2 linked regions of the Lytechinus pictus genome follow. The protein of the gene in region 2 interacts with the protein of the main gene of each other region in a pairwise test. Links are inferred from orthologs where the notes say so. Each region holds a gene or a part of one and is shown on either strand. Other genes may lie near its edges. The genes, in order: arrestin domain-containing protein 3-like and E3 ubiquitin-protein ligase NEDD4-like.

Region 1 (16,801 bases), about 11 Mb from region 2:
TATTCCACTCGTTAGGGCCAATATTCCATTCATCTGCGATTCGTGGAATATTTGCTCAAACTCTTTGGTAGCGGTATTCCATTCTGAGCCATCCAATAAAAACATCTATGGAAAATATATGGTTTATAGGCCTACTGAAATCAATTAAACAGATGAGAGCAACAAAGTGAATGTTCATAATAAATACATTTATGTTCATGTTTGTACCCCCCTAACACAAAAACAATAAATATTAGACCACACCATATGGGAGCTTAATAGGAAAACTTGAAAAATTGAATAATTTCATTTCAATTGGATGTTCTGATAAAATGGAAAAGAAATCAGTCTAATGAAGACATGAGACATTCTAACAAATGGGCCGAGGGTGATTTAGCCGTTGAAATTTAAAAAAAAGCCCATTAAAGGTTAAAATAATCACTCTCCAAACTTCATATAATATTGGTTTAATTACAGTTACTTTGAAAGGGGAAGGAAAATAGTCTGTACAGAACAGAAATAAGAATTAATTATTATTTTGTCACCTGCATTCTTCAGACTTGAATAATAGTGCAATAGTAAACATACATGTAGTGTAGCCTAGTGCAACATATCTACATGTAATTTACTTCCAATACACATGTATTTAAATAAATCACACATTGAAAGTCTGCTGAAAGTTATCTATAAAACGCCTACAGAGTTAATTTCCTTTGATCAATATATACACATTAGTCACCAACATGCTTATAAAGACAAAATTTAATTTTCAATCGGCACAAATGCTTAAAATCGGGTTCCAGAGATGAACAAATATTTGAATAAATACATGTACCTTTCTTTTGAAATCAGTAACTATTCAATAGCCTTATAATCCAGCCTGTGTTTAATTTATATTACATTACATTTCCATTTGATTGTTCATTTTCTTTAAACATTAAAATATTAAAGGATATCTTTAGGTTTGGTAAATTCCCCAAAGTGAATGTAACTATTCCATTTCATTACTATATTATATCAATGCTAATGCATGAGCCCAAAAACGGTTGTGGTGTGAGGGATATTATCTAAAATTATGTTTTATTGGATAAATTTACAGAGTTTAGATCAAATTTTAATCCAAACCCTAACTGCTGGAGAAAAAAAAATATATATTTTTATTTATAATTGGTTTTTAAAAATGTAAGAATGCATTCAATGACTTGAACACCTTTGTATTTATAATGTTCAATGATACTAGAGTAGAGTTCACATTACTGACCATTTACCAAAGGTAAAGACAGGCTTTAAATCATCAGAATATCACTTCCCTGTACATGTACAAGTACAAATAAAAAGTACCAGTATGAAGTTTTCATTAACAATGATTATCATTACAAGTTTATTCTAAACCGATAAAATGAACCAAAGTTCCTGACTTAAATCTACACATTTACAGGCATGCCGTTATTAAAGTCAAGCAAGAAAATAGAGAAAACTTGCAAGTTGCAAGGCAATCTTATTTCTAAAGTCCAAATTGGATGAATGAAACATAATGTAAGAATTATTTGGCTTTTAAACTCGTTGTCAACGTCCTTGACACTGTGAATTTCTACATTTCAGTTTTTTGTGCGACCAGCAGCAGCAGAAGTAGGGCATCGATGGACCGACCAGTGCAGCTAAGGCAATCTTATTTCTTTTGATTTATGTTCTCTGTACGTGGTTCATCTATTTCACCAAATATGTGCATGCGAGTGAATCGATATTCAGTTTTTGATCACTTTCTAATCTGGTATTTGATCTCAGGTCAAAGAGGAGATTTTGTTCTTCCAATCTTCCTCTTAACCCAATAAAAAGACTGGGCTATTTGAGATGTATTTAGCAATGCCCCCCTGCATTAACTACAAGCCCCCCCAAAAAAAATCCATTAATTATTTATGAATAAAATATGTAAACTCATTCGTCTAAAATATTATTTGAATATCTACATCTAACATCCAATTTTACTTAAGATTTTCACTTTTTTTCCCTGATGTCATCTTTGTAATATTATTTGAATTGGATTTAAAGACAAATTAAAACAGAATAACAGATACATGTACCCCAAACCTTTTTAACAGGTTAATGTCAAATTTGAAAAAAAAGAAAACATATTTGAGGACCTTCTATTGAAAGAGTTTTCTTTATCTGGCACACTGTAAAATGAATCAACAAAAGTATTATGATGGGGGGGGGGGGAAGTGAAATAGGTGGCGGTCAATGGGGGGGAGGAAGCACAAACATACCTGAGGGGTGGGCAGGGTGCAGAGTTCCCCCCCCCCCCCCCCGACAGAATTTTGATGAACTTCAATAGTTTTCAGAAAATTTTGTCAGTGCTGGAAAATGCTTCAGAAAATGGGGAGTAACCTTTGACCTCCTTCTTTTCTTTGTGCCCCCCCCCCCCTCCCACCCACCCTGACAAAGAAATATATTTACAGGGACGCCACTGCTGGAGGAGGGGGAAGGAGTGGCTCCCCTAACAAAATATACACAAGTGTTGACACTCACCAAAAGTTGAGGTGTATTGATATCGATGTGATCAATGACGGTGAATGCTCTCTTGGTTTTGCTATTGAAGCCCCATGGTTTATCAATCTCAGCCTTTAGCCAGTAGCGTATCCTGCCATACTTTCCTTCAAACGATGTGGCAACTCTCCTGTTAATACACACAAAGAAATAAAGAGAATAACACAAATTCGCTCATGAATTTGAATTACGGATTTCAAGCACTCTTTATTTACACACAAAGAAATGGCATACATGATATAACACTCACTCATAAAATTGAATGTGTGTTCAAGCCTCAAAGGAGAAAAGTTAATTACTTCTCCCAAGAACCCAATAACTAAAATTGCTTTGAGGAGCTGTGCATGGTAATAACTTGAAATTGGAACACAGAAAGGTTTTTTTTTGCTTTTTGTTATTGGTTTTTGCTGTTGGCGTTACAAGGACTAACCCAAGATCCCAACAACTAAAATTGGTTTGAGGAACTGCACAAGGTAGCAACTTGAAATTGGAACACAGAAAGGGTATTTTTCTTTTGCTGTTACAAGGACTATAAACCAAGAACCCAATAACTCAAGGCCTGGTCCCACTGGCCGACGGACACAATACGTATTCATAACGGATACAGTGGACAAGCAAAATTTCGGGGTGGCTCCATCCGCTCCAGACAATGGACAAAATGGGCGAACAATGAAATCACAGTGGACGGATGCTCGATGGATATACATGTAGAGCGTATGAAACACCTATGCAAAGAGTACACAACGGATACAGAACGTTTTCCAACGGATGATAAGATTACTTCCTGTTTTACATCTTCTCTGCATCCATAAGTGCAGTGGGACCAAGCCTTGAAGATTGATTTTAGGAACAGCAGATGGTAACAACTTAAAATTGAAACACTTGAAGGGTTTTTTGTTGTTGCTGTTACAAGGACTAACTCATGAAAATTCTTGCACCAATAATTCCGCATCTTGCTAAATGAAGATGTTAATTAATACTCCAATATTTGACTTTGTTCCCTTTGATCTGCAGAACCGAAAATCCAACAGCAAACCTACAGGAAACATAAACCCTTATGCCTTATCCTTATCCTTAAAGGGATGAATTATCTTTGCTGGAAGTAGACCGATAACAGACAAAATGGAAGTCTGGTGACAAATAATTGAAATTCCCATACATCGTGCATGAGGGCACCCTGCGGGAAAACTGCATGGGTGGCATATGATCGACAAAATAAGCCTTGCTTAATTAGGGTAAAGGTACAATCTTTAGGATCAAGAACCACAGACTGTGACTTTTGCTTCAAATCATTATCATTTGTGAAAAGATAATTTCTTGCCCTATAAAGCATATCGGTCCCTGAGCCTGAAATGCAAATAAACTACAGCAGAGTGTCCAATGTGATATGCCCCGTTTTAAAAGAAATAGTCATGCTAGTCATGTAACATACCATACTTACCAGGAAAAAATTCCAAAGCTACTTTTTTAGTTCAAGAGCCCAATTGTGCTACAGTGTATTACAGTTTATATTGCACACCATGGAAATTTCAGGGGCTCTTTTTCCAGGACTATGTAGGGCACTTTGTGGCGGGGGATCTGCCCCAAGCTCAACATGTATTTTCTCTCCATGGTACTTACCCATATGGGATTTGAAAGCTAAATCTCAGTTCATGATGGCCTGCTCTCAGAACGGGATTACTTCCACCTTCATCTTCATCTAAACAGAAAACCAAAGCAAAGGTATAGTTTAAAGACAAAGAGCTCTGGTGTAATGGCATTTAAAAGGTGTTTGCAAACTTTGTCATTTGTCACAAGTCAATATTTCCCATAAGGGGGCTCTGCTACTTTGAACAATGTACATATGTAGAAGGCAAAAGTACTATTAGACTCATAAGGTAGCTAGCAGTCTCCACTTTTCACAAAGTTGCAGCACTTGCTAAGGGCCCTGTTCACATCTGCCCATACACGTACCTGTGTGGAAGCAGCCTATCACAAATTTCTCATGTGTGTACACTCATTGAGGTACTAAGATTGACTTTAATAGATTCTTTTAAAAAATATATATATATCTTCCATATTCATTCTAAAAAACCTAAAATGTTCTAATTTTCTAACAATATCCTTATTTAGCACAGCGCTGTACATGTACAACTAAAAAGAACACATGCTCATGCTGTATGAATATTTTGGTATCACTATTCATTCATTTCAGAGTTACAGAGTCAACACCTTCAGTCCTTCAGTCTAATGCCATTCCGTCCATCAATCTTTCGTCTAACAACTTGGTCCAATAACCATTTGATTCAACCATCACTTTGTATACTCACCAGTACATCTTATAACCTGTTGGTCTAATATCCATTTTATTTTCATTCAGTTTGCCCAATTTTAGAACATAGTCCAATTAGACCAAATGGTATATGGACTAGATGGCTTTTTTATACCAACTGGTTATTGGACGAAATGGTGAGTGCACGAAGTGGCAATTAGACCATGTGGATGGCTGACGAACTGATGGTAGACCAAATAATAGTAGACGAGTTGGGAATTGGACAAATTGGCATTAGACCAATTGAAAATTAACCGTCGGAGGGTAGGATGATGCACAGACTAGATCTATGGCTAATACACTTTTGTTTTGCTAATGTGTGAACTTTCCCTTAGAGCAACTGCAGAAGGAGCAAATATGCTGGAACCGTTTAATCACCTTTTCCGAATAAGACTTGTTTCATGTAGAAGTACTCCTCCTCTGCATCATAATATTTGGTGTAGGATCCTGTTTGGTGGCCTCCTCCTCTTGATTCACTCCAATGTACCTACAATAAAGACAATTAAATGGGGGAAAACAATAAAATAAAGTAAGACTTAACGAAAAAGAAGAACATGTATAGTAATCCACTAAGATGGCATTGGCAAATCACATAATCTATGCTTTAGTTGAAGAGGCTTCTCATACAGCCTATCAATTTGTACCAGAACGTATAAAATTATTACTTTGGCCAAACAACCTTGCACTTGAAGGGTATACCTATCATGTATGATGTTTAATCATTTTAAATGGTGACCTCATCATTATTACCATGATTATTACACCTTAGATAACATTTATGCTCAACATTACAAAGAATTGCAAACATGACAATTTTAAGGTACTAAATAAAGAGTTCATGAAGGAGGCCTTTTACATGATTATAGAAAATCTATGTTTGCCTATCTATCTGTTTTATGTACAAGTACACTGTACTGGAGGCCTACATGTACATGTATGTTTGATGACTGTCTAAAAGGCATGGATGGAAATTTTAGTTGCATGATTTGCATCCATTTAGCCAGCATTTTTATATACAAATTCCTATTATCAATCCATGGACAAATTTAGGTAACAAATTTTTCAGGAATCCATCAAGACAAATGATTAATGACCCATAACTACCCTGGAAAAGCCCCTAAGAGTTTCAGGGTAGGGTCTATCAAATTGGTGAAACTACTTCAATAAAATAATATTATCATGTTCAAAATGCTAAGCTCCACTGAGACATCCAGCCCTGGACAGCACAGCCAGCCAGTTATCTACCAACCTCTACTTCTGAAGTAAAAGCAGGTCTCAGATTTTTTACCTTGGCAAGTCCACGCATGTAGATGCGGATACCTCGCATTTTCATGTCCCCTCGAAGGTCGACAGCAACATGTCCCGAGACAAACTCTCCTGCCGAATACACATTCTTGTTGTTGTCGAGCACAATGTGGAAATCCTTCAGTTTCACCATATTGCATAATTACACAAAGGAGCCGCAAACACACAAGTCCTGGTCCTCTTTAATAAGCACGTCTTATCCTTTAATCTGCTTGTTTGGGGACGGTGGGTGGTGCCTAGTCTACAATGCATCAAATATCTTAAAAATGCCATTCAAATGTCTCAAATCATTTCAGGTACATTTTTTGTGGCGACACCGGTCACTGCGATACATGTAAGCTGCATTAGATTCCACAAATAAATCCTCACACCACTCCTGGTCATAAATGTAGTCTTTGTACATGTAACCTGCTCGGTCTCATTCTAAATTTGTTTAGAAGATCACTCACAAATTGTTGTTCACAAGATGAAGTCTAAACATGATGAGGAATGACCAATATAAATTTTAAATTTCAGCTGTCACTGTTTAAATTGTGGAATTGCACCATGGTGTCAAGGCCCCCAATTCAATAGACCAAACATTAATAACATGCCCAATATACTTTATTAAGTTAAACTAAAAAGTATCTAACACCACATTATCCTTCAGTCTCAGACCCTATAACTTGTAAGTTAGACATTCACAGCCAGGCAGGCACAAGCTAAAACTAAAATATAAAGTCAAAACAAAATGGAAAGAATTTTTAATTTCTTGGCAACTATGAACTAATAAATCTTGGATTTGCAAATCTGAGATTTTTTATGAACACAGGCACAGCTCAGGTAGCTTAGTCTTAGATCTTGATCTAACTTAGATCCTATTCCTAGCTGTTTTTAGTTTGGTTTATTTTCTTGACTCCAGCAATGCTTTGTTGACATAATTTACATTTCACTTATTGTTGTTGAGCTATGCTGTCACTGTCTCCTGGCTGTGCGCTGTCATTCAGCTTTGTGATTGATGATCTTGGTGCTGATTGCGGGCTGGGCACTGCACTGTAGTGTAGTGTACCGTAGCTGTGCCACAGGCACAGTGCAGTGACAGACGTCTGACTCTGCGACTGCGGGTTATGCCTGGCTAGACTCGGGACTCGGACAAATTTACGTGCTTTTCCCAGGTTTATACATCTGCTCCAACCAGTGAATTCACTTAATATCAAAATTCAATCAAAATTCGGGCTGGCTGCTTCCGTTTCCAGATTCAAAGAAGATCCTTTGATGAGTTGGGCGTCCTTTTTTCTTTTCTCAGGGACTCAGCTGATTATTTTGATATTTACCATTACGAACAGTAGATGGCGCTAGTATTTGTACTATAAATTTTGTAAGAGAATTTGTTCAGTAATCCCGGTATTTCATGTGTGATGCTTTTCCCCGGTGTTTTTCATGTTAATTTTGTAATGATTCCCAGGAATGATTTTGAAATGTGTTTGTAGTCTCGTGGATAATGATGTATTTATTTGTTTTTATACATGCACAAGATCTTTATTTAAATGATTCGTGATTGCAATCTGCCATTTGAAGAGGAAGAAAGTCAAACATTAAGACTAAATAAAATTGTTGATTTTTTGTTTTAAAAAACCTGTTGTTTCATATCATTCTTATGATAATTTTGCTGTATGTCTGAAAAGATGGAGCAATAACATTAAAAATTGTAGAGCGGCATCAGCCATTATGCTCTCGAAAATGAAGGCCGGTATCGTACATTTTTTTATAATGTGTGCGTCCCATAAAAAAAAAACGTGAATCGAGAACTATCGATGATTTATATAATCACAAAGTCAATACAATTGGCCTTTAAAGATTATAACATCCTCCTCTTTCATCTGGTATAAATCCTCTTCACGAATGAGTGATCAAATTACCAAAAACTCACTTGGCGGGTGGTATCTGAGTTTCCAAAACAAATCATATCGTGTTTTAAAGTTAAATATCTGCTTTTTTATTTGATATCTAAGTTTACCGGGAAGTTTACTAGAAATTTCAAATGGGCCAGGCAGAAATAAAGTTCTATTCATTATAAAATAAAAAGGTTTAGAGCAGGGATTCTCAAATGGTGGCGCGCGCGCCACTTGTGGCGCACCGAGCCTTGCGGGGTGGCGCTTGGGAGCTGGTATTTAAAACAAGTAAAAATAAGGAAACATTGGGGAGAAAAAATGTATCTACCAGTAATTACCTGGAAATAAGGATTTGGTGATCATTTTAATACAAAGAAAAAACAAAAACTCTTTACTTGACACTTAATTGCTAATTTATTTCCTCATTTTTTCCCAATTTAGCACTCGATAACCCCCATTATAGAGGATCGATGGTGTTCTCCCTTTTATTCATTCTATGCTGTACAAAGTTTATGTGCCACACAAGTGATTTGAAAACCCCGTTTGTAGGATTTCTATTTCAACGGCGAGAAATTTTGCATTTCCAGCTAGAGTATACGTTTTGGTTAAGAGTTAAACATCAAATAATGTGATATTCAAAGAACATCCTGATCATAAAAAAATTATGAATTTGAGACATAACAAGCAGAAACTTTGTTTCCGGAGCCGATTAAAATCTGAAGTTGTAAAAGTGAAATACTATGCTCAGATGTATTGCCTGCCGAGCTTGCCTGCATGCACATGGATGATACTGCACGTGAGTTGTAAAGAGAAAGGGGCAGTTTGGAGCGCTAGTGCAGTGCAACGCCTAATTTTCAGCCCTTGCAAATCGGGGTATGTAACTTCAGCCACTGGCGTACAGATGGGGGTGGGGATTGGGGGGCCAAATGTTTCACGGCCGAGATTTTAAAAAAAAAAGGAGAAAAGGAAAGGGAAAGAGTGGAATATTGTATTATTATCTTAATATTATGTCAAAATATAGATTTTTATATTGAAAAGTTCAATATTTTTGCTTCAGCTGCCATATCTAGCCCCCTCATTTTTTTATTCATTACGCCACTTGCTTCAGCCAATAGATCTGGTGCAGAACAGTCTGAACTAGTGGTATAATATTGTATGTTGTGAAAAAGTCACTGGTCATTTTTCTTTTAATATTAATATTGTACAGTTTGTTGGCATTTGTATTTCTTCTGTTGATATTAATTAGAGCCCCTCTGGCCAATTTAAAAGGCCTCATATTCCAAAACTTCTGGGGGCTCTGCCCCCTCGACCCCCACCAGGGGCCTCTGGACCCCCTCCGCTGATACATTGCTGGTTTGCGTAATGGATAGTGGAGCATTACAGATTCTCGACAAGAAATGTGGCGCTTCCAAAAAAAGTAATTGAGAAAGGCTGGTTTAGAGGATAGCTGTTAGACTTAAAAGATTTCCGATCGCACTTCGCGATTGCAATAAGTTGATGAGTGATCGAGATACCTGCCCTATAGCTTTCTTCATCAGGGTCCTGTTGCACACTGTCAGGAAGGGAGGGGCTTTGGGCGAGCCCACGCCCCCCCCCCCCCCCAAAAAAAAAAAAATGAATAAATAAATTTAAAAAAATAATAATAATAAATAAATATGAATAAAAAATAAATCACGACCAAGGGAAAAAAAGAGAAAAGTAAAGGGATAACTGTGAAATGTGATATTATTTTCTGAATGTTATGTCAAAATCTATTACAAACTTGGATTCTTGAGATGAAAATGTCGAAACGTGTTTTTACACTCGCAACTTTTATTAATTTTACGTGATAGGTCAAATCAAGCCCCTCCAAATTTTTGGTTAATAAACGCCACTGCCTATGCTGCCCGTTGCATGAAAGTTACCATTATGGTAACATACTTTCCATCCAATTAACTACCATGGTAACAAGTCTCAACAGCCAATCAGAATCAAGGATTCAAGTCAACAGAACCCGTATTTATCAAGTATTTACCTCCCTCTACACTCGTTATAATATTGTTTGGTTAGTTTCACATCTACTTCACCATAGGCGCTTAGAATGTTCTGTCTTCGGGTGTAAATTACAAAAAAAAACTTCAGACACGGCGATCACATGAACTATTAATGATTATGACCTTAATTTGTTTTGCAAAAATAAAGCTAAATATCTTTAGGCCTATACAATTTCAGTGTTTAGGACTACCCGAACTCCAAGGCCTAGCTCCCCCCCCCCCCCCTTATTGGAAATAAAAACCCTGCATGGATCTGCCCCTATCGTTTCTCACTCCTTTCACGAGATCATGCCCAGTGGACTGGTAAAATGGGGGCACAGGACCAAAATCCAATTGAAGCCAGTTGTGTGTATTTGAGTTTTGTCAGACGTGTATCAATCAGATATGATTATTTACGTCTGGGACCGACCTTTAACGTCACCATCCGAAAGACGTGACCAGGGCTCGAACCTCTGCATCAATTTGTAACTTCCCCACAGCTTGGATTACAGGCGCACGCCACAACGCCCAGTTTGATTTCAAACTGGTTTTAATTGGTTTAATTTAACTGGAATATAACAGTTTCCAATTGAAACCAATTTGAACCAGGCAACTGGAAATTCTAACTGGAACCAGTTGAGTATAGCTGGAAATGTCTTCCAACTGCATGGAAATGACTTCTTACTGGAACCAGCATGACCAGTTGGGTAACTGGAAATCCTAACAGGTACCAGTTATGTACATGTAACTGGAAATCCTAATATCATATTTATATTCGAAGCTCCTCAATATAAATGTATATGTGAAAGCCTAAATTTTAATAATGCCCTTTATCATTGGTATCAAATTGGATCCAGCTAGATGAAACCAATCGGGTTTTTGCCTCCAATTGGAATTGACTGGTTTTAATAGGGAAATTTGAACAACTGGAACCAATTGATATGCAAATGCCTAATTGGTTTCGACTGAAACCAATTGAAACCAATAGCCAACTGGTTCCAGTTGCCTTAACTGGAATCAATTGGCAACTGGTTTCAATTGGAACCAGTTGTTCCAATTTCCCTATTGAAACCAGTTGGCCAACTGGTTTCAACTGGATTTGCTCTAATAGACCAGTTCGTAGTTACATCAGGGACAATTTTGGTCAAATGACCTTTCATTTATTTCATTATGATAGGCAGATTTCAAAGCAGGATATAACATATGCATGCCTTACATAGCAGGATGAAGAAATTGAATTATACCAGGTGACTAGAATAGCACACCATTGAAGACTCCATGAAGGTATTTGTTGCATTTCTACTTTGAATGCATATTATAGCATGTTGTACAATGTACTTGGCAAACTGCAGTGAATATATGCTAGCATATTATGTTTATTATGTTATGAAAAATGTATTATACGAATGTTATGGATGCAGAAGAAAACAATAAATCAAAATCAAATACCAGTCGTGGACGCATTTTTGTTCTTTGTGGATGCAAATGAAAAACACAATTGAAAAGAATATATGAATAATCAAGACACCAAAGCTGGTGCTTATCTCATTAAATTTTAAGGCCACCATGCCACTTTAGTACAAATGACCTTTCTCTGATCATGCGCAGAATGGAACTACGAACTGGCTTATTGGTTTCAACTAGATTTTGGACCGGCCGGGGGGGGGGGGGGTGAGCTGCGTTTGGCAAAATTCATAGAAAGTTGCCGCGAGTAAAAGTTTTGACATTTTTATTACAAATTTTGTGATAGATTTTGACATTATTTTTAGAAAGCAATATATTTCACCCTTCTCTCTTTCCAGTTTCTTTCCTTTTCTCTCTCTTTTTTTTGGGGGGTGGGCAAGTGCCCCCTATCTGTACGCCAGTGATCATACCGATAAGGTTAGTAAGATCGTGTTCTATCGAAACTTAATTGGTACTCCAGGCAGAACCACTGAACAGCTAAACTCACACAAATAAAACATTGAAACTTATATCAAAATCGGATAAGGAACAAGTTGTGAATTTTAATTACAGGCGGTGAAAAGTAAGTTCTATGCACGTCTTCATGAATATGCAACAGGGTTGGCGATTTTTTTTTTTTCATTATTTTTTGGAAAAAAATCGGATTTATTTGATTTAAATCAGATTTTTTTTTTATTCGGATTTTTTTTATTTTCTTTATTAAAAAAAAAAAGAAATTCTAAAACAAAGTGGAAACATAAAAAATGTAACACATACACTGAAATCATTTTCAAAATCATATATTTCACAACTCTAATTATTATTAGCTTCTATTTTCATAATCAAATCCAATCAAAATAATTATGAAATTATATTTATTAGAATTTTGTCCTCCAACAATGAAAAGAATGGATTGAGTATAATTTTATTAATCATTGGTGCAACTTGTTTTGCTACCCGGGGAAGCTTACACACATGCATGAATAGATCTATATGAGATGATTATGAATTCATGAAATATCATATGAAAAATGAAGGTGGAGAGTGGGGACATATCATCATCAGCCCATCTATTAATGATTGCTTGAAGGTGCAGTTTAAAATTCAATAACAAAGGGTGAAATAAAATAAAAAAATCGAAATAAAAACCAATATCACAATTATTTAGAATCGGAGAGTGTTGGCGCCCCCTGCGTTCATTAGTGATCATATGACGTGGATCTCTGCGATACTAAAAGTGAAAAATCTAGCTAAACCATCGGATTTTGTACAATATTGAGCTGAAAATGGGAATCAAATTTATTTCAGTTGATTCCCTAAGGATGCTATTTTTCTTCAACGCAATGTTTTCGAAACTTAATAGTTCCCTGCATTATTTCCTGATTGGGTTTCTTGGATGGCAGCTGGACTTGGCATTAGCAGCGGATCCTGATCCCGTCGGCGACGGGCAACCTCCGGCTGGCAAGACAACTCCTACGGCTACGCCACATTCACCGGGCTCTAACCTCGGCACTTCCAAAATACCGACCGCAAACACAACTTCGTCACATGATGGAAAATTCGATTTTGGCGATGTTTTGTATGACAAAAGCATGCTGAGAAGGAGTTTCTTTGTGCTGATTGGATTTACGTTATTAGCTATGGTGTTTTTTGCTGTCAGATGGTTCAGGTAAGAAATAATAATAAAAAAAATAAATAAATAATGAAAAAAAAACATGATTGATCTGTTTTCTAAGTTCGAATCAGATGAAAAGGGCTCAAATTATAAAACACATTTAGCTGGTTCCAAGAACATGAAGAAGGGAAACTATAAAGGAAGATCAAGGCCTTAAAATGTACCAGTTAGCCATAACCTTGTTCATTGAACTGCTTAACTGTTGAATGAATGCAGTTAGCTAGTCTTGACTTGAGGACTCCATGATGATGTTTTTTTTTCATATTTTGACATATATTACTTCATCATGGAGTCTTGAATCCCCGTCCATACATGTATATCTATAAGAGACACATGTACACAAAGATGGATTTCCTTCAGAGGGTGAAATCGGTTTGTATTGTCAAATTTTATTTATCTATGAACCTTCAGGCGCCTAATGCGTATAAAGGGATAAAAATTATTTCACTATAAATGGTAAAAATGAGACGTTTCTTACAGACCCGATCTCCCGTGGATCCCTCGATCCGTTTGTCAACAAAGCAAAGACCATAGACCTGACCCTTGAATCGCTTCGTGATGACCTATGACATACATCCGGTTAGTGGTTAGCTAAAAGTTATTACGTAATTATAAATAATTAGTATAATACTGCTAAATATTTATAATCACGTAATAAATTTTAGTATTTGTGAAATAATAATTTTTATCTATAAATTGTTCTTCAAAACGGCTTTGCTTACTGGATGTACGTCATACATAAGCGGTTCAAGGATCGACCCTATTGTATTTGCGTTGTGTACATTTTGATCGAGGGATCTACAAGACATCGGTCTGGTAAGAAACCTTCATTTTGTAACATTTCAATTGACCATTTTTAAAATCTTCCTATGCATTAGGCGTAGGAAGGTGTAGAGATTAATAAAATCACAACAATTTACGTGATTTTTATATCAAAAGCTGGATTTCCTAGGGAAATCCATCTTTGTTTAAAAGTGTCTCTTATACATATATGAAGGGCGGTTCAAGACTCCAATGATGAAGAAGTTTAGTCAAAGTATTTAAAAAAGACATCATCATGGAGTCCTCAAGACTACTGTTTCACAGCCTTCCAACTATGGTACATGTAACTACATGTATAGATACATTCATGGTAACTTAAAATGAGGAAACCTTTATTTTGAGGCTACATGTATGTTGAGGCCGAGCCATTGTAGACTTAAAGTTGCCAGAATGGCAAAGTTACCTTGGTTAATTCAGAACGGGCTTCTTGTCTTGAAGGAATCTTCACTTTAATTAAAAGAAATTCAGATACATATGTCACACTCTCTTTATTTGTGTTTTCACAGGTCAAGAGGAAAGAGAAAGTCCAAGAAATATGGGGTACTGGCAACACGTTCATCAGACATGGAATTACGACCACTCGACCAGGATGATGATGAAGAAGACATGACAGTGTTTGACGTCAACTCAAAATAGTAATAATTTATTTACACACCACAAACACTTTAACCTATCCAAGCATTAAAAAAAAAGAAATACATGTAATTTGCCTTGAAGTAAACAAGATGCATGAAGCACATTCCCTAACATATTTGTATGTACTAATGCATTCTTTGTTACTTATTGATATGCCAAGATGGACTTGCATGTACATGTATGTAAGATGTAAATGTATCAATTTAGGGGAATTTTGATAGGGGAAGGTTTATTTGTTAACCCTGGGTATTGAATACCATTTGTTGTGTCAAATTTTCATAGTATATTTATTGTGATTGGCAGAATGCCAAATACAGCCTCCCCCCCCCCCTCCTCCCAGTCATCTCTCAAAAAGCAAAGGTGCTTATATAACTACTTATATGTTTAAAGATCTTTATTATTATAAGATGTCATTTGAAAAGGAAGTTTTAAAAAATTGATGTACTGAATTTCTGCACCATGTGACTTTTAATTATTATGGGGTCATATTGGATCAAGTATCATTCTGAGAGACTTGATCTTGCATGTGCATTACCCATGATTCCCTTGATCTCCCTGGCCCCTTGCTGTGGAAGAAAACTTGCAGCTAGGAGTAAAATATACACCTTGCAGTCTAGTCACTTAAAAGGGGAAATTTCATGCTTTTTTGCAGCCAGGGGAGTATTCAATCCAATCCAACATTGGGAATTTAATTATTTCTATGAAAGAAGCAAATGGTAAAAACAGAAGTCAAGAGGTGGAAAGAAATTGGACAAGGAATATGAAAGTCAATGCTGATTGAAAAGTAAGATCACTATAAAGACAATGTAAATACATGTACAATGTATGTCAAATTAGCAATTTGGTGAGAAGATAATAGGTGGTAAAAATAACTTTCTCTGTAAGGCACCCTTCCTGCTGTCCTGCATATATTAGATAGTATATTTATAGGTCCTCTCTCAAGAAATATCATTCACATAAATTTTAGAAGCAAATTCCCATGTGTTTTCATGGGGAATTTTACACTATTGGGATCTAAATCACTCGGAGTAGAACAAGATTTATTACCAGCAGACGTTGTGTAATGCTACTGGAAAATGCCTTCAAAGTTGGCTGAAGCTAAAAAAGCAGGCTGTGACAAATAATTTCTTGATGGTAAACCAAGTTAGCTTTCCCCTATTGGATGTCTCTTTTACAGGCATTACAAGTGCTTTTCACAAGGTCTGGGGTCAGAAAAAAATAATCCACTTCCCTTCAAAGCTGATGCAAATCTGACTCTTAAAAAGCTGATATTTTAGTGATTTCATCAAAGCAAATGGAGTAATCCTTACATGTTCCTGTATCACAAATAGTGACATCACTTTTGCAGTCAAATTTAAAGCCCCATAGGTACAGTATTATGTTTCATAGCAAAGTACTTTCTTGGCATTGAATATAAATGAAAGTTGTTGCAGTAAACACTGATTTGAGAAAATCTGTAAAATCAAGGTTGTCACAATATCATCCTACATTAAAAAAAAGTATCTAGTTCTGGTACAAAACTGAATTGTATAGTGGAAATGTGAAAACTAAGCTGAAAGACATTCAGAAGATCACCAACACAGATAAGCACATTTGGGGCAGTGTATTATGATCGCTTGAAAATTGTCTTTGACAATTTGCCACAATATTGTGCTCATTTTGCTAATTTCTTAGCAATTACACCATTTCTTCCAGATTCCTTGGGCTTATGCTACCATGTTTTGTAAAGATAAATGCCAGTTGTGGTGATGGTTTTCAAGATGATTTTGTACAGAATCTAATCGATTGACCACCCAAGTGTCTGTATACAGTCATACAATGTATACAGACACTTGGGTAGTCATTTGATTAGATTCTTGAAATACATTACCACAACTGGCATTTATCTTTACAAAACATGGTACATGTAGCATGATCTTATTCATTATTATGAGAGTAGTTGTAACTTTCATCTTTCAAAGAGTAGTGGGTTCAACTCCTACTACTGCTGTACCAGACCGAGGCCGAGGTGGGTAAATCTGGCAGGAAAATATCTATTGACACACAAGCCTTGTATCAGGTGCTTTGCTAATGTCAGTGAAAATTATGTTGCATTATTCTAGAGCGGCTTTTTTTAATAGAAACTTCTGATAAAGTAAGAACTGTATAATTATGTAAAACCAGTACTTCTATAATAGAGAGCATTGTTTACACAAAATTCATT
Region 2 (16,903 bases):
GTACCAATTCGGATGTGAATACCAATGTTATTTAACAGCTCATATAGACTGATCATTGTTAGAATACTCCACAGGGAGTGGAGTGCTACACTGTATGTGAGCGAGCCAGATTCCAATATCTGGGGTAATGATATATTTGAAAAGTAATAGAGATTTCATTCTGATATAGCACAATGAAAAGTGGAATATTTTAAAGAAAAATTCTCAAAGAAAACTAGTGGGAATACATACATGTAATGTATGGTATGAATTTATTTGACACCCTACAAATGCATGAATGAAGGTATTTTCAGAAACAAACAAACGTCCCTCAGGGGCCAGAATCTTAAAATGTCCCACAAAAATTAATGTTCTTTTGTTTTAATACATCTTGGAAAGTGCATAACTGAATTACTCACAAAAACTTGGGTTTGGTTTCAGAACAAATATAAATATTGGTATTTCATAAATCACACACACCAAACAGACAAACTACAGTACATGTACATTATCTGCCGCATACATGCATACATTGGAATCAAAGCCCCACGCGGTTAAATTAAATATCAGGGAAGTACATGTAAAGAGTGGAATTGCAGCGTGAAACAGATTCCTTCCTGCTAGTACCCATTCTGGGGTGAAGAGTATCTTGCCGAAAATCGTTTTCATTTTATAGTTTAATAAAGATAAACAACTTAAAGGTCAAGTCCACCCCAGAAAAATGTTGATTTGAATCAAAAGAGAAAAATCTAACAAGCATAACGCTTAAAATTTCATCAAAATCGGATGTAAAGTAAGAAAGTTATGACATTTTAAAGTTTCGCTTATTTTTTCAAAACAGTTATGCATGCACAACTCAGTGATATGCGAATGAGAGAGTCGATGATGTTCATCACTCACTATTTCTTTTATTTTTTATTGTTTGAAAATTATACAATGTTTCAATTTTTACAGAATTAACAATAAGGTAAACTTGACTGAACCACATAATGTTAAACAATGTTAATTCCACATGTTCAAGGAGGAATAAAACTTGATTTCACATGACAAGATGGAGAAAATCAGAATATTTCATAATTCATATAATAGAATGCAAAAGAAATAGTGAGTGGATGACGTCATCAGTCTCCTCATTTGCATACCGACCAGGATGTGCATACAACTGTTGTGTGAAATTAAGCGAAATTTTGAAATGTCAAAACTTTCTTATTTTACATTTGATTTTGATGAAATTTTCAGTGTTATGCTTGTTGGATTTTTATCTTTTTATTCACATCAACATTTTGTTGGGGTACTGTAGACTTGTCCTTTAACAATGAAATTATAATGCTAAAAGGTATCTCTTCAATCTAAAATATCATCCTGGACAAACATATTTTTAATATAGAGCAATACTTTCAAACAACATATATCTAAGTTTTAGAATGAAAGACAAAATCTTTGAAATGGTACAACACATCCACCTGTTTTTTTTCTACACCATTGAAAGTATAACCTACATTTACATGTATTTCTACCTGGAATATTTTCTGAAAATATGCCGACAAAACCGAGACCATTACAGCTTCAAGACCCATAAACAATCACTCTCATTTTAATGTACATCACCACAACACTTAAATACCTTTGAAGTGAGTTTCATGTAATTTAGCATCATTTTTTTCAAATCCCTATGGTTTGTAAGAACAGTAAACTTGATACGATACATGGTAAAGAAAATTATTAAGTACTTCCTCTTTACACCAATCTCACTGTTTCTGTACCTGGCATTTACCGGTATTTTCTTTCAGATCCTGTAAGTATTTTCCATGTCTGGAAATTTTAAATGCAAAACATACCATATTTCCACTTGTGAACATAGCGAGGCGACCAGGATACTTGCAATGACACTAATGCTGGAAACAGTTCTCATTTCATTTTCCATTTATTTGCCAGTACGAGTGCTATTTCATCCCACATTTGAGACACATCACAGTGGATTTAATATTAAAGGAAATCCTCTACTTTTAACTTACCCTCTTAATTGTCCTTGTTTGAACACTTGATATAACTCCTTCTTCCCTATCTCCTCTGAAAAGCTTTATCCTCACATATGGATCACTACATAGGAATAAATCATAAATAATATTGTAAGATATACAGTATTTTTGTCTTCTTTTTAAATACAAATTTGATATTTCACAGATTAAAAAAAATATATCACATGGCATTATATTTGTACAGTATTTTGAATATTAAACCAGGGAAGGGATCACAAAATTGTACATAGTTTGCATTAGATTGGAGTCCTAACCAACTTATTAAGAGTTTTAACGCCTTTTGACCTAAAATGTCAGAATTTTCAATTCCAACAGTACTCTGATATAAAAATCAGTCAAATTTATAGCTCTACGATGGGTGTACGGTGGCTGTAAATATCTGCAACGCCTGCAGGGTCAATGTAGGGCGGATTCCTATTTTTACAGGCCATAGGGGTGGCTGAAGCATTATTGCGCGGAATTATAGTTATTTTTTTCATTTCTACGCTTGATAGAAATTAGACTAGCCGTAGCCATGGTCTACAGCAGCTGTACGTCGAGTGTACAGTGGCCGTAGACTTGGTGTTCTTCTCCCCTCTCCTGTCCCCTTCTCCTTTTGTGTTCTCTTCTTGGGAGGCATGGTGTGACACTTTAGGAACTTTAAAACTTAAAACATTTAAAATAACTTGCTTATTTCATAACCGATTTTGATGAAACTTTTTTTTAATTGTTCATCTCATTTTACTCTAATATGATTTCTCCTCTTCTTGGGTTTTGGTTTCCTAGACTAGACGTAGATTTAAAATTGGCAACTGGGTATGACAAGGGGCAAGGCCAACTTTCTCATAGGCCATTTACTTAATTATCAGGGATTTGTGGCTTTCTACCAAGTACCCCTTACCCTGGGGCAGTAATCTAAATATTATCAAGATAGTAGGCCTATATTTTTTTATGTCCTCATGAAAGAAAAATATAATTTGAAGTAAAACTTTTGAAAAAATTACATTTTACCCATTTTATGTATGGGAGTACATGGAAGAGTAGTCCTTGGCCTTTACATCACATATGCAGCAAATAGACCAGTTCGCAGTTACTTCATGGACAATTTTGGTCAAATGACCTTTCATTTCTTTCATTAAGATAGGCAGATTTCAAAGCAAGATATTACGTATGCATGCCTTACATAGCGGGATGACGAAATTGAATAGACCAGATGACTAGAATAGCACATCAATGAACACTTGAAGGTAGTTGTTGCATTTCTACTTTGAATGCTATTAGAGGATGTAAATGTACTTGGCAAACTGTTAAATATACCAGTCATTCATGGATGCATTGTTTTTTTTGTGGATGTGAATGAAAAACACAATTCAAAAGAATATATGAATAATCAAGACATCGAAGTTGGTGCTTATCTCACTAATTTTAAACCACCATGTCACTTTAGTACAAATGACCTTCCTCTGATCATGCGCAGAATCTTCTGATCATGCGCAGAGTGGAACTACAGACTGGCTTATTTGTAGTCTCCATGGGTATAGTGATTAACCAATTTTTACAACTTTTAAAAATTCATAACTTCCTTATTATTCGTCCAATATTGTTCAAACTTTCACCTATCAACTTGTCTGATTTTTCCTTTTCCTCTAAAAACAAGTTTTTATTTGGGTTGCATTCCCAGTTTAAGCGATGAAAATGCATTATTCTTTATAAGCGTTCTTACTTCTAACAGCATATAGGTTGTTGTTTTGGCTTCAAATATTCCTCTTTTTCTTCTTTCTCCTTCTCTGTCTTATCCTTTTATCCTGTTTCCCCTTCTTTTCACTCGTCACACTTTTTCTTCCTCCTATCTCTCTTCATCAAGTTCACTCTTTCTATCTCCCCTCTATCCTCTCTTCATTTCAGTTGTAAGGGTGTGTGCTTGATCTATTTCAATTTTCTTTTCTGCAATCACCAATGTATAATCGTTTTATGTAAATTTGATTGTGATATGTTATATATTGTGTATCTGTATTGTAATTCTTATATTAGACCTGTACTTCGTCCTAAAAAACCGAGTAACCTGGACTTATTTTCGTTGTTTGTAATTTCCATTTGCTTTGTTTTGAATAAAGGTGATAAAAAAAAAAAAAGTCACAACAGCGATACTCTCTCTCCTCAAACCCAGCCAGGCAGGCCTACCAATTCGAATTCACTGAGACTTCACAAATTATTGATCAGTCAAAGAATAGTCTCTATCTTCACAGACCTTCACCTAGTTTCAATCTCTCCCTCTCAAACTCTCATCTCTCAATTTCAGCTAGAGCTGTATTTTTGTCAAATCCATCAGGAGAAATTTTAGTTTTTTCAAATTAACACTGGTAACATTGTCAATTTCTTTTTCTACCACACTCTTGAAACATATGGACATTCATTAAAGATTTCATGCACAAAGATCTTTGCTTCTGAACATTCATGTACATGTTGGTAGCCTATTATACTTTAATATATAAGAGCAAATTAGATCATTTCTTGTTGAGGCATCAAAATGTTAGAACAATCCATGTATTTATGTAGTATGTACATACATGTACATGTATAATATACAGTATTATGTGTATAATACCAATAGTATTTGTGAGTTTTCTTTAGAGCACATTATACACACACACACACACACACAGATGATTCACAAATTTAAAATAACTTACGATGAATGCTTCTCAGCACTCACCACATAAACAGATGGGTTAATATTACAAATGTAAGTATAACTGGCATTCATATTTCATTCCCATCCTGGACTGGCTTACAATATTTTAAATCATGTTTTATTTCATAAACCATACACATCTACATGTACCACTAACTAATCAACAGTACTTGGAGGATTCCTAGGAACGTGATGCATGATGAGAATCTATTCAAACATACCTTGCACCAAATATATCCTTCTTAGCCAGGTCTTTTCCTTCTATAACTCTCACTTTCAAGATCCGGGTAGTTCCAGGGGCCTCCCCCTGTATAAAAAAGACAAACACAAAACAAAATAGAGATGAGCAATGTGTCATGGAACACACAACCAAATCAAAATCTATTATTTTTCTGATTCAAAGAGGATGTAAGGACAAACCCCAATTGTCCCCTCAATAATGCAACCTAATTTTATTCTCTTTGACTCTCTTCATCACAAGCATCACATGTCCGGGACTACCCCATGAAAAAGGTATGCATGATAAGGTCCAACAGAAACTTACAATTCCCTAGAACTAGAATACTTGAGGAGTAGTACGCCTAATATTAAATGTTAAAATGTACCAATTTTGTGAATGAAGCTTATCTCATTAAAAAAAAATGTAGTCTTGACTCCTTGCCATCTTTGCCTAAAAAAAAGGTAAGATTTTACAACAACTTTTACTTGCTAGCTGCTCAGAGTCCTATCACAATTCCTTGATCTACATTATCATAATTGAGAGTTTTCCTAGTTTCATTACTGGAACTCACTGCATGCAAAAAAAAAGACCCAGTAAAATTCTATTCAGTGATGCATGGATCATCTGTTCTGACAATGTGTTATGGTATCCTCCAGTGGTAGATCCAGCATCCCCCAGCATTTTTGTTTAAAGGAGACAATAGAAAAGTGTATTAAAAATGTTGTCCCCCCCCCCCCCCCTGGCTGCATCAAGGTGGAGTCCAAGAGTGATTTTTTTGCTTGTAAAGGTTGTGGGCAGGGTAGTTGTTATGTGGTCACCTAGGTGTGGTATGTCCCTACAGAGTTAAATAATATACAAATGTTCACTCTTTGCTTGCCTGTGATAATCTGCCTGGCGGAGGTGTACTTAATATCTCAATCTGCGGGCTTATTTCTTTGTTTAACAATAATTTGTAAATATTAAATATTCAAATAAGAAAGTTTGCATATAAAAGAAATTATATGAAAATAAATGAGTTTACAACAAATTTAAATGAGTTTCTATGAATAAGGGTAAGTTTCACTAAATAATCATATAGGCTAAACCTTTCAATGTAAATCAACTGAACCATAGCCTATAATCTAAAGCGGAGGCTGCAGTTATTGTCTTTGCTAATCTGCTGAACGCAAGCGATATGTCTGATGTGGCAAAGACTACGAATTGTGGATGCGAAGCATCCACTGCCTATAGACACCCTAACAAATATTCAAGTTTATTCAAAATGACGAATTTATGGATAATTCCACAACCACGCCTAATATGGCTTACCAAAGTTACGTTCAACCATCAGATACATGAAGTTGCAAAGAAAAAGATTCTGCTCGTCCATTACTTAATGGGGGTAAAACAAATCAGGAGATAGGGATACATAAACTCAACGTCTGCAAAACAATGTTTTATATTTTTTTTAACAACCATTAAAATAAAAGATTAAATATTTTGCTAAACTATAGTCTTCAAGTATATTTGAGAGACATGACGTTGTCAAATTAACGATTATTAATTCGTACTTCCCATGATCTTGTCATTTGACATGTTGTGGTACCGGAACCGGTACCTGTATTCCTGGTCATGTGTCAACAATTAAGACATCTCCATCATAAAAGACGTGATTGCGAAGATAATCATAACACAGAGGGATTGCCTGGTAGATAGCGCTTTTTCTATATCCTGTTGGTAAAGCGACAAATATATCCTCCCGTCATCAATAACTACTTTAACTAGGCATGCCAAATTTGTCAGCTCCATAATCCAAACTTTCTCATAGAAGTTTTTCACGTGTACTCGTACTCGCCATTTTGGATGAAGAAAGTGACATCATGGCTTAACATATGCATGAGAATTTTTCGTACGAAAAACCAGCGTTATTTCATTGTCAATATTAAAAAACAAAATCCAAATCAAGACGGGTGTCTATAGGCGGTGGATGCTTTGCATCCATAGTTTGTAGTCTTTGCCACATCAGACGTATCGCTTGTGTTCAGCATAACAGCAAAGACAGTAACTGCAGGCTAACTGAACCATGAAATGAACATGAAGGGACAAAAGATCATTGCAAATAGTAGGCCTATTGTGTAAGGAATGCAAAGCAGGAGATGAAGGGATGGTGATGTAAAAGGAATGAGAAGTAATCAGATATTAATGTTAAGCATGAGATAGATAAAGGAGGCAAATAAAGTGGTGAGAAAAAACAAATCGTAAAGTCAAAGGAAATAAAAACAGTCAATTCTTTGTCTTCAAAATAAACTTCTACAGCAAGGAGATCTAAAAAAAAAAAAATAGAGAAAGAGAAAAAAAAAAACAATTGAAACAGATGAAAAGAAGAAACGAAAGAATAAGGAGAACAATAACAAAGAAAAAAACGGATATATAGAAGAGAAAAAACTATTGAGAAGAGAAAGTAGAATAAAAAGCCCTCAAAATAAAAGAGAAAATGAAAATAAAAATAAATGCAAAAGAATAAAAAGATAGGCCTTAAACAAACAAAAAAGAAAAGAAAAAAGGGAATAGATCTAGAGAAAAAAAAAAGGAAAAACAGACAGAAAGAACAAATTATAGATTCAAGATTAGTGGAAGTAATGAAGAAATAAATAATATATTGAATAGTTTCTGTGATCATGTTTCATTTTAATGAAAATGATTTTATATCAAGCACCCCCTACTCGACTTTAAACTACAGTATATATGTGGTAGAAATGGGAATTTTTTCACATCTTATCTCTGTTAGTAACTAAGCTACAAGATGCATATAGAGGGCGGCATAGCAAAAAATTATTTCACTAGGGATGTCTAATCTGACTAATGTCTACATAATAAAATATTCCATGGAAGTTTCACGGGTGTTATGCCTTGCACTTTCCTGTGCACGACACCTGAGTTGGAACCTTGAGTGGTCTCAGCCTCAGTCTAAACTACATGTAGATCTAGGCCTAGATCTAGATAAAGTTAAAGTCTAGTCTAAGCCTAACAAAAATCAATTGGATCTAGATCTAGAAGTTCTGAAACTGCTGCCCTTTTTCACTTTAACCCTTAGACTATTGGGCAAGACTTCCAGTTTCATATGTCCCCTCCAGCCTCCACTAAATTGAAAAAAAAAATATGGAGGTTTATCAAGAATTATCTAACATAAAATCTATAAGAGATTTAGGAAGGACTAGAAATTTGACGTGTCCAAAGGACACAGATGCCCCCTCTTAACGCGATCAGAAATTCATTCAATATGATTATACAGAGTTTAAAGTGATTCATCCCCATAATATATAGCCTACCGGTATATCTTGTGATTTATTTAATGAATCGATTTTGTAATAATTTTTTGGTCAACATTGTGAAAGTGGCAGAGTGGTCTTGAAACTTGTCCACCCATGGCAATCTGAGCCCGATCATAAATATTGCATGAGGAAAGAGGGAACCAGTTGTGTGAGGAGCTTCACATCGTAAACAAACTACAAAGCCTTTCGCATCAATTACTTTCAAAATCGCCAAAGTTTCTTTACATATCGTGGTGAAATAATTTTTTATAATATAAATTCGATTTGTTGACCAGTTCCCAAACGCACGGAATGGCCGGCAAACCCTGCTAAATGATCTTCACCATACCATGCACATCCACACTGATCCTGCAACATTCCACGCAGGGCCTACAGTGTACACGGCGTAGTCTACTCTAACTAAAGTTAGGCCTAACGTTACACCAGTTTTGGCATGAATATCAGCCAGAGCGGTCGGCAGTTAAACCCGTGAGCGGTACGGCGGGGGCAGCGGCAGGGAAGCATAATCGACGAGAGTAGGCCTACCGGAATTTCTGGCGAGGACTCATAAAAAAATTTGAATTTTACTACAAAAAGTCATATCAATCAACTTATTCAGTACATCGTGAACTCACCTGCATTTCGGGGAGACCATATATTGTTGCCATGTACAAATAGTATTTCTGGTAAGTATGTTGTCAATATTTTTGACAATAAACTTTTCCGTTCCCACCCTCGCCTTCGTCGATTCTATAAATAACTCGATGAATTGCGCCCTCAACGATATCGGGCGAGAATTATTTTTTTTTGGAGGGGGGGGGCGGGGGGTATTGACCAGACAGAAAGAAACCGGTGGAATCCGTGGAGAAAAAAATAAGACTAAAATATTAAATAACTGAAATAAGATTATTACACAAGCGCATGAATAAGCCTATATCAGTTCTAGTTTTTCCTTCATTCTTTTTCAGTCTGTAGGTAAGGCTAACCCGGGCGAGAAGAATTTATTACGAAATACGATGATTCATACAAACTGTAAAACTTTTGTAGATTTCCACATGTATACGTAAGAGTGACTTTATCAACTAGGACAATTGTTCAAAAAACTGTCTTAATAAGCCAATTAAATATGTATATATTGACAAATTTCACTTCTCCAGATAGGATTCATACGGATATGGATCCGTATACCGGATCTATCAACGGGCATGCAGGGCATGCATCAGGGCCCGCATCAGGGGCCCGGGGCAGCCCCGGGGGCAGCAAAGTGGGGGGGGGGGGGGGGATGGGGGATGGGCTGACCATGCAAAAAATCACAATTGGCGGGCTCCCCAACTGGTGGATTTCATCGGGAAATTAAAAACTTCCAATTTAAATTTATTTACAGAAGAATTTCAATACAAGATTTTTTATTTAAAATTGGAGTAAAAGATTCTCCTTTATGTAATTTCTGTGAAAACCACGTTCAAACAATTGTTCATCTATTTCTTAGATGTGAATATGTAATTTCATTTTGGTACGAAGTTCACGAGTGGTTGAAGGCCAAGCATATTAGAAGTACATATTTCAGTGACATTGACATTTTTGGAGTTATAACCCTCAATAACTTTCATCTTATACCAATATCATTGTGTTGTTTGCAAAATATGTCATCTATTCATGTATCAAACCCACTTTTACTCATTTAATTTATGCTTGGTTTGGAAAAAAATCGAAACAACTGAGAGAATTATTGCTTTTAAACGTAATTTGATAAACGTGCATCGAACAAAAGATATTTTGTATACAAAATGAACCATTTATTTGAATTTGTTTGAAATGTGTGCTATTTTTTTTTTATTATGTTGTATCTGTGCATGTGATACCTATGTATGGAATGAGTTGAGAAATAAAAAAATCTTGAAAAAGAAAAAAAAAGCGGGAAGTGAAGGAACATTGTATTATTATATTAGCTTGCTAAATTTTATACAATAAGGTCGCAATCAGGACAAAAAATCCCAAGGGCTAGACGTACACATCCCCTTATTACGTGATAGGGCCTATGACCCTACCGTAATAAAGCTTTACACTGCATGCATGGCAAGGGTTATACCGTACAAACTAGTTCATCTACCTTAAAATGGCTCTATCAAAGGGATGGTCCGGGCTGAAAATATTTATATCTTAATACATAAAGTAGAATTTACTGAGCAAAATGCCGAAAATTTCATCAAAATTGGATAACAAATAATAAAGTTATTGAAGTTTAAATTTTAGCAATATTTTGCGAAAACAGTCGTCATGAATATTCATTAGGTGGGCTGATGATGTCACATCTCCACTTTCCGTTTTCTTATGTTATTACATAAAATCATAATTTTTTCATTAATTCATACTTGTGTGAATAACATGTCTCCCTTATATCACTCTAAAAACACTGAGTAAAATTTTACCCACTATTAGGTAGAAAGGGAACATGCATGTTTGCTGGGTATTTTTTTTACCCCATATTGGGCTATTTCAACGCAACATTGCGTTAAATTGACACCATACTGGGTATCTTTTTACCCAACCAACATGCATGTTCCCATTTTACCCAATATTGGGTAAACATTTTTTAGAGTGATAATTAAATAAGTTGCAGCAATAAATATCTAATGCACTAAATCAGTTGTCAATCCAATTTTTCTAGTTCTTGGAGGAAAAAATTTGAATAAACCTAATTTCATATTATAAAATACAAAAGAACAAGTGTGGATGTGACTCATGATGACTGTTTTCACAAAATATTGCTAAACTTTAAAATTCAATAACTTTGTTATTTGTAATCCGATTTCGATGAAATGTCCAGCATTTTGCTCAGTGAATTCTACTCTATTTATTAAGCAATAAATACTTTCAGCCCGGACCATCCCTTTAAGGACTCTTAATTCCTGCATGCGGGGTTCTTGGTTCAACAGCCAAGGGGAAATAAAAGAAAGTAAAGAAGGCAATAAAACAAAATGAAATGAATGGAAAACAATGATGATATGTTATTTCCTGAAATTAATGTAAAAATCTATCACATAATTAGAATTTCATTTCAAAAGGCCAATTTTCTTCTGGCTCGATCACTTGGCTCGCTGGCGACTTTTTACAAATTTTCCCACATTTGCTAATCAGGGGCCGCGGAACCGTGTACAAAAACGTAAAAATGACCATATGATTGTGATTTTTAGCATGGTCAGCCCCCCCACTTTGAAAACCGTTCAGCGGCCCCTGTGCTTAGTGTACACCCTAAAATTTGGTAGTTACGGAACTGCGTTAAATCAATCTGTTGTGTAAAAGCTATATGTATATATATATCCCAAATGAAGCTTCATCATTTTTTGTTGGTAAAGTTATATTTCATAAAAATCCAACCTTCATGTGATTGTAATTCAAAAGGTAAGAAAATTCTATTTTGAGGAATAGGTCTATAGCTATAGCATTGTGTTTTCGCAAAAAGCCTGATTTTTGTTTCCCCTTCTCTCGCAAAGCGAGGAAAGTCAAACTTCTACCATTTAAAGTTTGTGAATAAAAATGGACGTGTCAAGTGGGAATAATATACTGTTGAATGATTTCAGCCCGGCACAATCCAGGAGCCTGCTTGCGAACATGGTGAAGGGAGAAGGAGAAGCTTTAGCACCAAAGCTCAATTTGAAGTTTTTTAGAAAACTTTATAGAATGACATATGCCTACATTCTGTAAAAATGAGAAGCCCGCTTGTTCAGGCCATATAGCAGAGCAAGTTCGTAGCAGACGTTTCAACAGGTATATATATATATATATATATATATAATATATATATATTTGCACCCAGATTTTTATTTATCAAAGTTAATTCAGTTCGCACCACATTGGTCTAGCGCCATCTACATGTTTTAACGATCCCATCATGCACTTTTCTGAGTTACATCCGGTTTAGAGTCATGGAGGCTGTCCATCAAGCGAAAAACCTTCTTCGACAAGAGCTAAAGAAGAGACTGAAAGCTCTTTCTGAGCCAGAGAAGGTCAGGCAGTCTCTTTACATAACAAAAAAGGTTAGTGAACCGATAAATCATGTTCAATTCTGTAGGGAAAAGACAAATATTTTACCTGAGATTGTAGCAGACGACGCATTTTAATTTTCGGTCCCAGATGCTGCAATTCATGTCAACTTTAATTAATATAAGACACGTCTATGCCATTATACATGTTGTATTGACTATTATCATGTCAATGTTTGTCTGAATTTATTTTCCAACGGCAACGTGCAACGACTCTCCTAACCCAGAGAGTCGTCCGTGTAATACTATTCAAACATATACTCTCCAAAATGGGGTCGGAATAGCACTTCAAATAATTAAAAGGGGAAAAATAAATTATGCATTTACCTCGATTATATGGATGAAGGTCTATCATATTGGCTATCGTTCGTAGGATGAGTGTCATGACACAGCTATCTTGACATCGAGGCACAAACTGGACCCTCTAAAAAAGGAAAAGTTCCGTCTCGTTCGTTTTCCTTCTGTCAAAATTAAAAACAAAATGGCCGATCAATACCATCACATCACATCAGGTACGGAAATGAATAGACCAAAAGCTTCAGTCTCTGAAATGTTGGTTGTTCCGCTGAACTATGATGGCTCATGATAGTATTAGTAAAATGTCAGAAATTGTTAGATAAATCCCCAGAAACGACGGTTATTCCTGTCTAGGAAATGAAAGACTTCTCCTGTAGGTTTTCCGATCTTTACTTCCGGTGGTTGACCATTATCTAGACAGTTTAAACTTGTGAGACTTTACGTGCGTTGAGAAATGGAGGTTTTAAATCTTTCCCCCCACCAAAATTTATCCAACAGATGTTTAAACATTTCCACTGATTTAGCTTCCACTACTTCTGTCGGCACTTTGTTCCAGTCAGAAATTACTCTTTGACTAAAAAATTTACTCCTAAGTTCCAGCCGAGATCGTCCTGTGAAAAGCTTGAACTTGTGACCTCTAGTTGATGAATGGATTACTGGTGTGAAGAATGTGTCACTCGAGATCCCAAACTTTCCATTTAACAGTTTGTAAACAGTAATCATCTCCTCTTCGTCTTCTGTAAAACAGTGAGTGAAGGTTTAGTCTCTCTAGACGTTGCTCATACGGTAAGCTCTGGAGACCAGGAATCATGCGAGTAGCTCTCCTTTGCACCTTCTCTACTTTGTCTGCATCCATTTTAAATCTCACATGCCATAAAATGTTCCCATATTCCAGATGAGGTCGAATCAGAGATACAAACAATATTTCAGGGGTTATTTGAGAAAAGGTTCTGTGTACTATTCCAGACTTTGGAACTCCCTCCCCAACAGCACAGTTAATTGTACCTCTCTACACATCTTTAAACAAGAGGTACAAAAGACCCAGCTCCGTTAATAACGGTGGTTGCTTTTACTTGCACGCTGTAAGCAATTTTTTATCGAATAATGTACATACACTTGCACGCTGCACTTCACCAGTACGACAATACACCAGACGGTGGACTGTACTGTTTCCAGAAGAAGAAGAAGAAGAAGTATTTGGTTAGCTTTCAAAACAGCTGCTGAGACATGTTGGCGAAAATTGAGCTCTTCATCCATAATAAAACTGAGATCTTTCTCCTGCTTACATGGTTCTAATTCATCTCCATTCATAGTATAAACACTTCTTGAATTGGTCTTTCCAATATGTAGAACCTTGCATTTTGAAAACTTGAGTTGCCAGGTTTCACTCCATTCGACAGCATGAGTAAGATCAGCTTGAAGAGTCTTTTGTTTAACATCAGAGCTGACATCATTGATGATTTTGGTATCGTCGGCAAAAATATACACAGAATTGTCCAAAATATTAGGTAAATCATTTATAAAGATGACAAAGAGAATGGGTCCTAACACGCTCCCCTGCGAAATGCCGCTGCTTACCAAGGTACTTGACTCCAATCAGAACTTTCACCGTTGATAGTCACTCTCTGTTCCCTTCCTGTTACAAAGGCTCTTATCCAAGCATGTAATTTTCCAACTATACTACCATATGACGTTAATTTCTTGAGAAGCCTCTCATGAGGAACAGAGTCAATTGCTTTACAAAAGTCTAAATAAATGACATCAATAGGAATTCCAGCATTAAGTGTGTGTGTCATTTCTTCCATTGCACATAAGAGCTGTGTCATACAGGACCAATTTGGAGAAAATCCATGTTGACAGTTTGAAAGTAAACAATGATCCATCAGATCAATCAGGAGGTTCCTGGAGAGTAAAAATCATTTACTAACGTAGGCTTACTCTCCACGGAGCCAGGGATTGCGTCCCATTCATGTGTGTGTACTGCGAAAAAACAGGAACTTTCGCCCCGAGCATGCTGTGATTTTTACTTTCTTTCTAAAAGATCTAGCCCTAAATCATGTAAATGTGGTATATTTTCATGAAGATCCCCGACATTTCTACGATATCGATTTCAGTCAGTTTTAAACAAAAATTCAGTAAAAGAACAAGAAAAATATTATGAAAAGACGGGGAAACTTGCTCGATGTTTACGCCGCCATCTTGTTTCTTATTGTCCTTCGCCAACGTTAGCGTCTGTAGATCTCCGGGATCAGCTGAGGAAGAAGAGGAAGAAGAAGGAGAAGAAGAAGAAGAAGGAATTTGGAACTGAATACAGAGTCAAAATGATTTTGTTCAGCATATTCCCTAAGTATTCTAAGTAGTAAGAAGAAGAAAAAGATGCTCCATGTGACTGAAATTTCATCGCCAGATGCAAAAGTGCCCTAACTTGTGTGCCAACAATTTGTTGCCTCGACATTATGTTGATCTAGGGGATATGCTAAGGGCTTGATTTTTTAGCCAAACTTGATATTATGCCTTCCCCCGCTGCCATTAAATCTACCATCAGACCAAGCCTTTACACCATGTCAGACAAAAGTTAAATTAAAACACTGCACATTGAATGTTCTGGACCCCCAGAGAAAGATTCAGTGATCACTTCACATTTACGATTGGAATGTTAGATGATAATCAAGTATAATTTACTATTTTCACCATTAACCTCAGCCCTAGTCTCAATTTCCATGTCGCTAGTAGTAGTGTTTTCCTCATATTCAAGGCAGCACTGTGCCTGCACTCCTCAGAATGTATTGAGGAGTTTCGATTGGATGAAGCACTACTCACACTAGAAGAAGAAGCATCTAGACTATTTGGAAATTCATGTATTTTTGACTCAATGAATGACATTCTTTAAAGAAATCCCCCTCCCACCACATTAGATACATAAGATTACATAGATGTACTTTACCTGATATCTAAGTACAACTTTTCATGTTATTTTCCCTATGTTATGAAATAATGAGAGCAAAACACTGCAAGGACACATTTTAGAGTGATTTCATTTGCAATAGGGAGAATGAATTATATGAAAAGTTTTCGAAAGTGGGCCTTATGTGGAGTGACCAAGCTTGCCATGGGGGGCACTTTGGCATTTTCTTAAAAAAAAATCGTTTGAAGGATTTTGTGCACTTTTTTGGTGAATTTTGTGAAAAGTCTAAGTAAAATATGTAAGATTTCAACCCCCCTACTTCGGCCATGAACTCACCATCATTGTGAGTATACTAGTATACTACAGAGGGTCTGTATAATCTAGCTGAGCTCATTTACTTTTAATCACTCTGGTGGTTGACCACAGACTAAATTATTATTTTGACTGCTGGAATACATTGTAATTTAACTTTACTTTTGTTGATACATCTTGCACTTATGATCTTCGATGCAGCTAATGTCACACCCTGCCTACCAGAAAAGTCAGCGGATATCAGTCTACCTGGCCATGAAGAAAGAAGAAGTGGACACGACTGGTATCCTTCAGAACATGTTCACCCAGAATAAATCCTGCTACATTCCTCAGTACATTGGACCCAAGATGAATATGCTGAGGATGACCTCTATGGAGGATTATGAAGCTCTGCCAGAAACAAAATGGAAGATCAAGCAGCCGGCTGATGATGATGAGAGGGAAGATGCTCTGAAAACAGGTTGGTTTATCTCTTTTTAAAACAAATTAAGAACCTTCCTTACCCTCAGAAAAATTCATAAAATCACATAGTATTTTGTTCCTGTTAAAATTGATATAATTGTTGTCTGCTTGTCTGCCTGTCCTGTGATATTTTTTTTCTCTAATTCTTGATTTTACAGGACAGGATAGGGAAGGTAAACTGATATCCGTTGAATTATGTGTGGCCATATTCTTTGTTAAAATATGTTTTTAAAACATTATGAAGTTCTGGAATTCCCCGTTAGGATATAGCCCTTGGTCTCTGTTTTAGAGGCTTCCAGGATTGGCAAGCGAATGTTTGTTCAAACACATATATCTGGTATTATCATTTTGAAGATTTCAGGATCTCGCCATTTCTTTATAGTTTGATTATTAATTTCGCTTGAAAATATGCATCATTTTTGTGGCATGTATCATCCACCAGATCGTTAGTGAAGAAATTTGTAGTTTTATATTTTTTTTGGCTAAATAAACATGTTGAATAGCCTCAAGATCTTGTATGGATAGTAAAACCTTATTTTCAAAATTATAGAATGTAACTGAATAATAATAATAATTTAATAATTCCTGTCTTACATTTCTAAGAAAGTGTTAACTACATGAACTGTACATCCAACGAATAGCCTTCAATAGTTCAATCTTTGATTAATTTAATTAATTTTTAGGA

Evidence for each region.
Region 1: the proteins of E3 ubiquitin-protein ligase NEDD4-like (region 2) and arrestin domain-containing protein 3-like interact in binary tests that used the Homo sapiens proteins (3 or more experiments, as listed by UniProt). The link is inferred for Lytechinus pictus from reciprocal best matches to the Homo sapiens genes NEDD4L and ARRDC3.

What each region holds. Positions count from the first base shown.
Region 1 is NC_087249.1:17,116,020-17,132,820, reverse strand, and holds the start of arrestin domain-containing protein 3-like, read right to left. Parts: upstream 7,490-16,801; 5' UTR 6,273-7,489; coding exon 6,123-6,272; intron 5,322-6,122; coding exon 5,213-5,321; intron 4,223-5,212; coding exon 4,144-4,222; intron 2,654-4,143; coding exon 2,506-2,653; intron 1-2,505. Other genes in the region: membrane protein FAM174A-like, read left to right, coding at 12,809-13,134, 14,469-14,598. UniProt on the Homo sapiens protein: Adapter protein that plays a role in regulating cell-surface expression of adrenergic receptors and probably also other G protein-coupled receptors.
Region 2 is NC_087249.1:27,696,319-27,713,221, reverse strand, and holds the start of E3 ubiquitin-protein ligase NEDD4-like, read right to left. Parts: upstream 8,958-16,903; 5' UTR 8,868-8,957; coding exon 8,835-8,867; intron 4,997-8,834; coding exon 4,911-4,996; intron 2,080-4,910; coding exon 1,995-2,079; intron 1-1,994. Other genes in the region: 5-formyltetrahydrofolate cyclo-ligase-like, read left to right, coding at 12,126-12,236, 15,958-16,216, 16,902-16,903. UniProt on the Homo sapiens protein: E3 ubiquitin-protein ligase that mediates the polyubiquitination of lysine and cysteine residues on target proteins and is thereby implicated in the regulation of various signaling pathways including autophagy, innate immunity or DNA repair.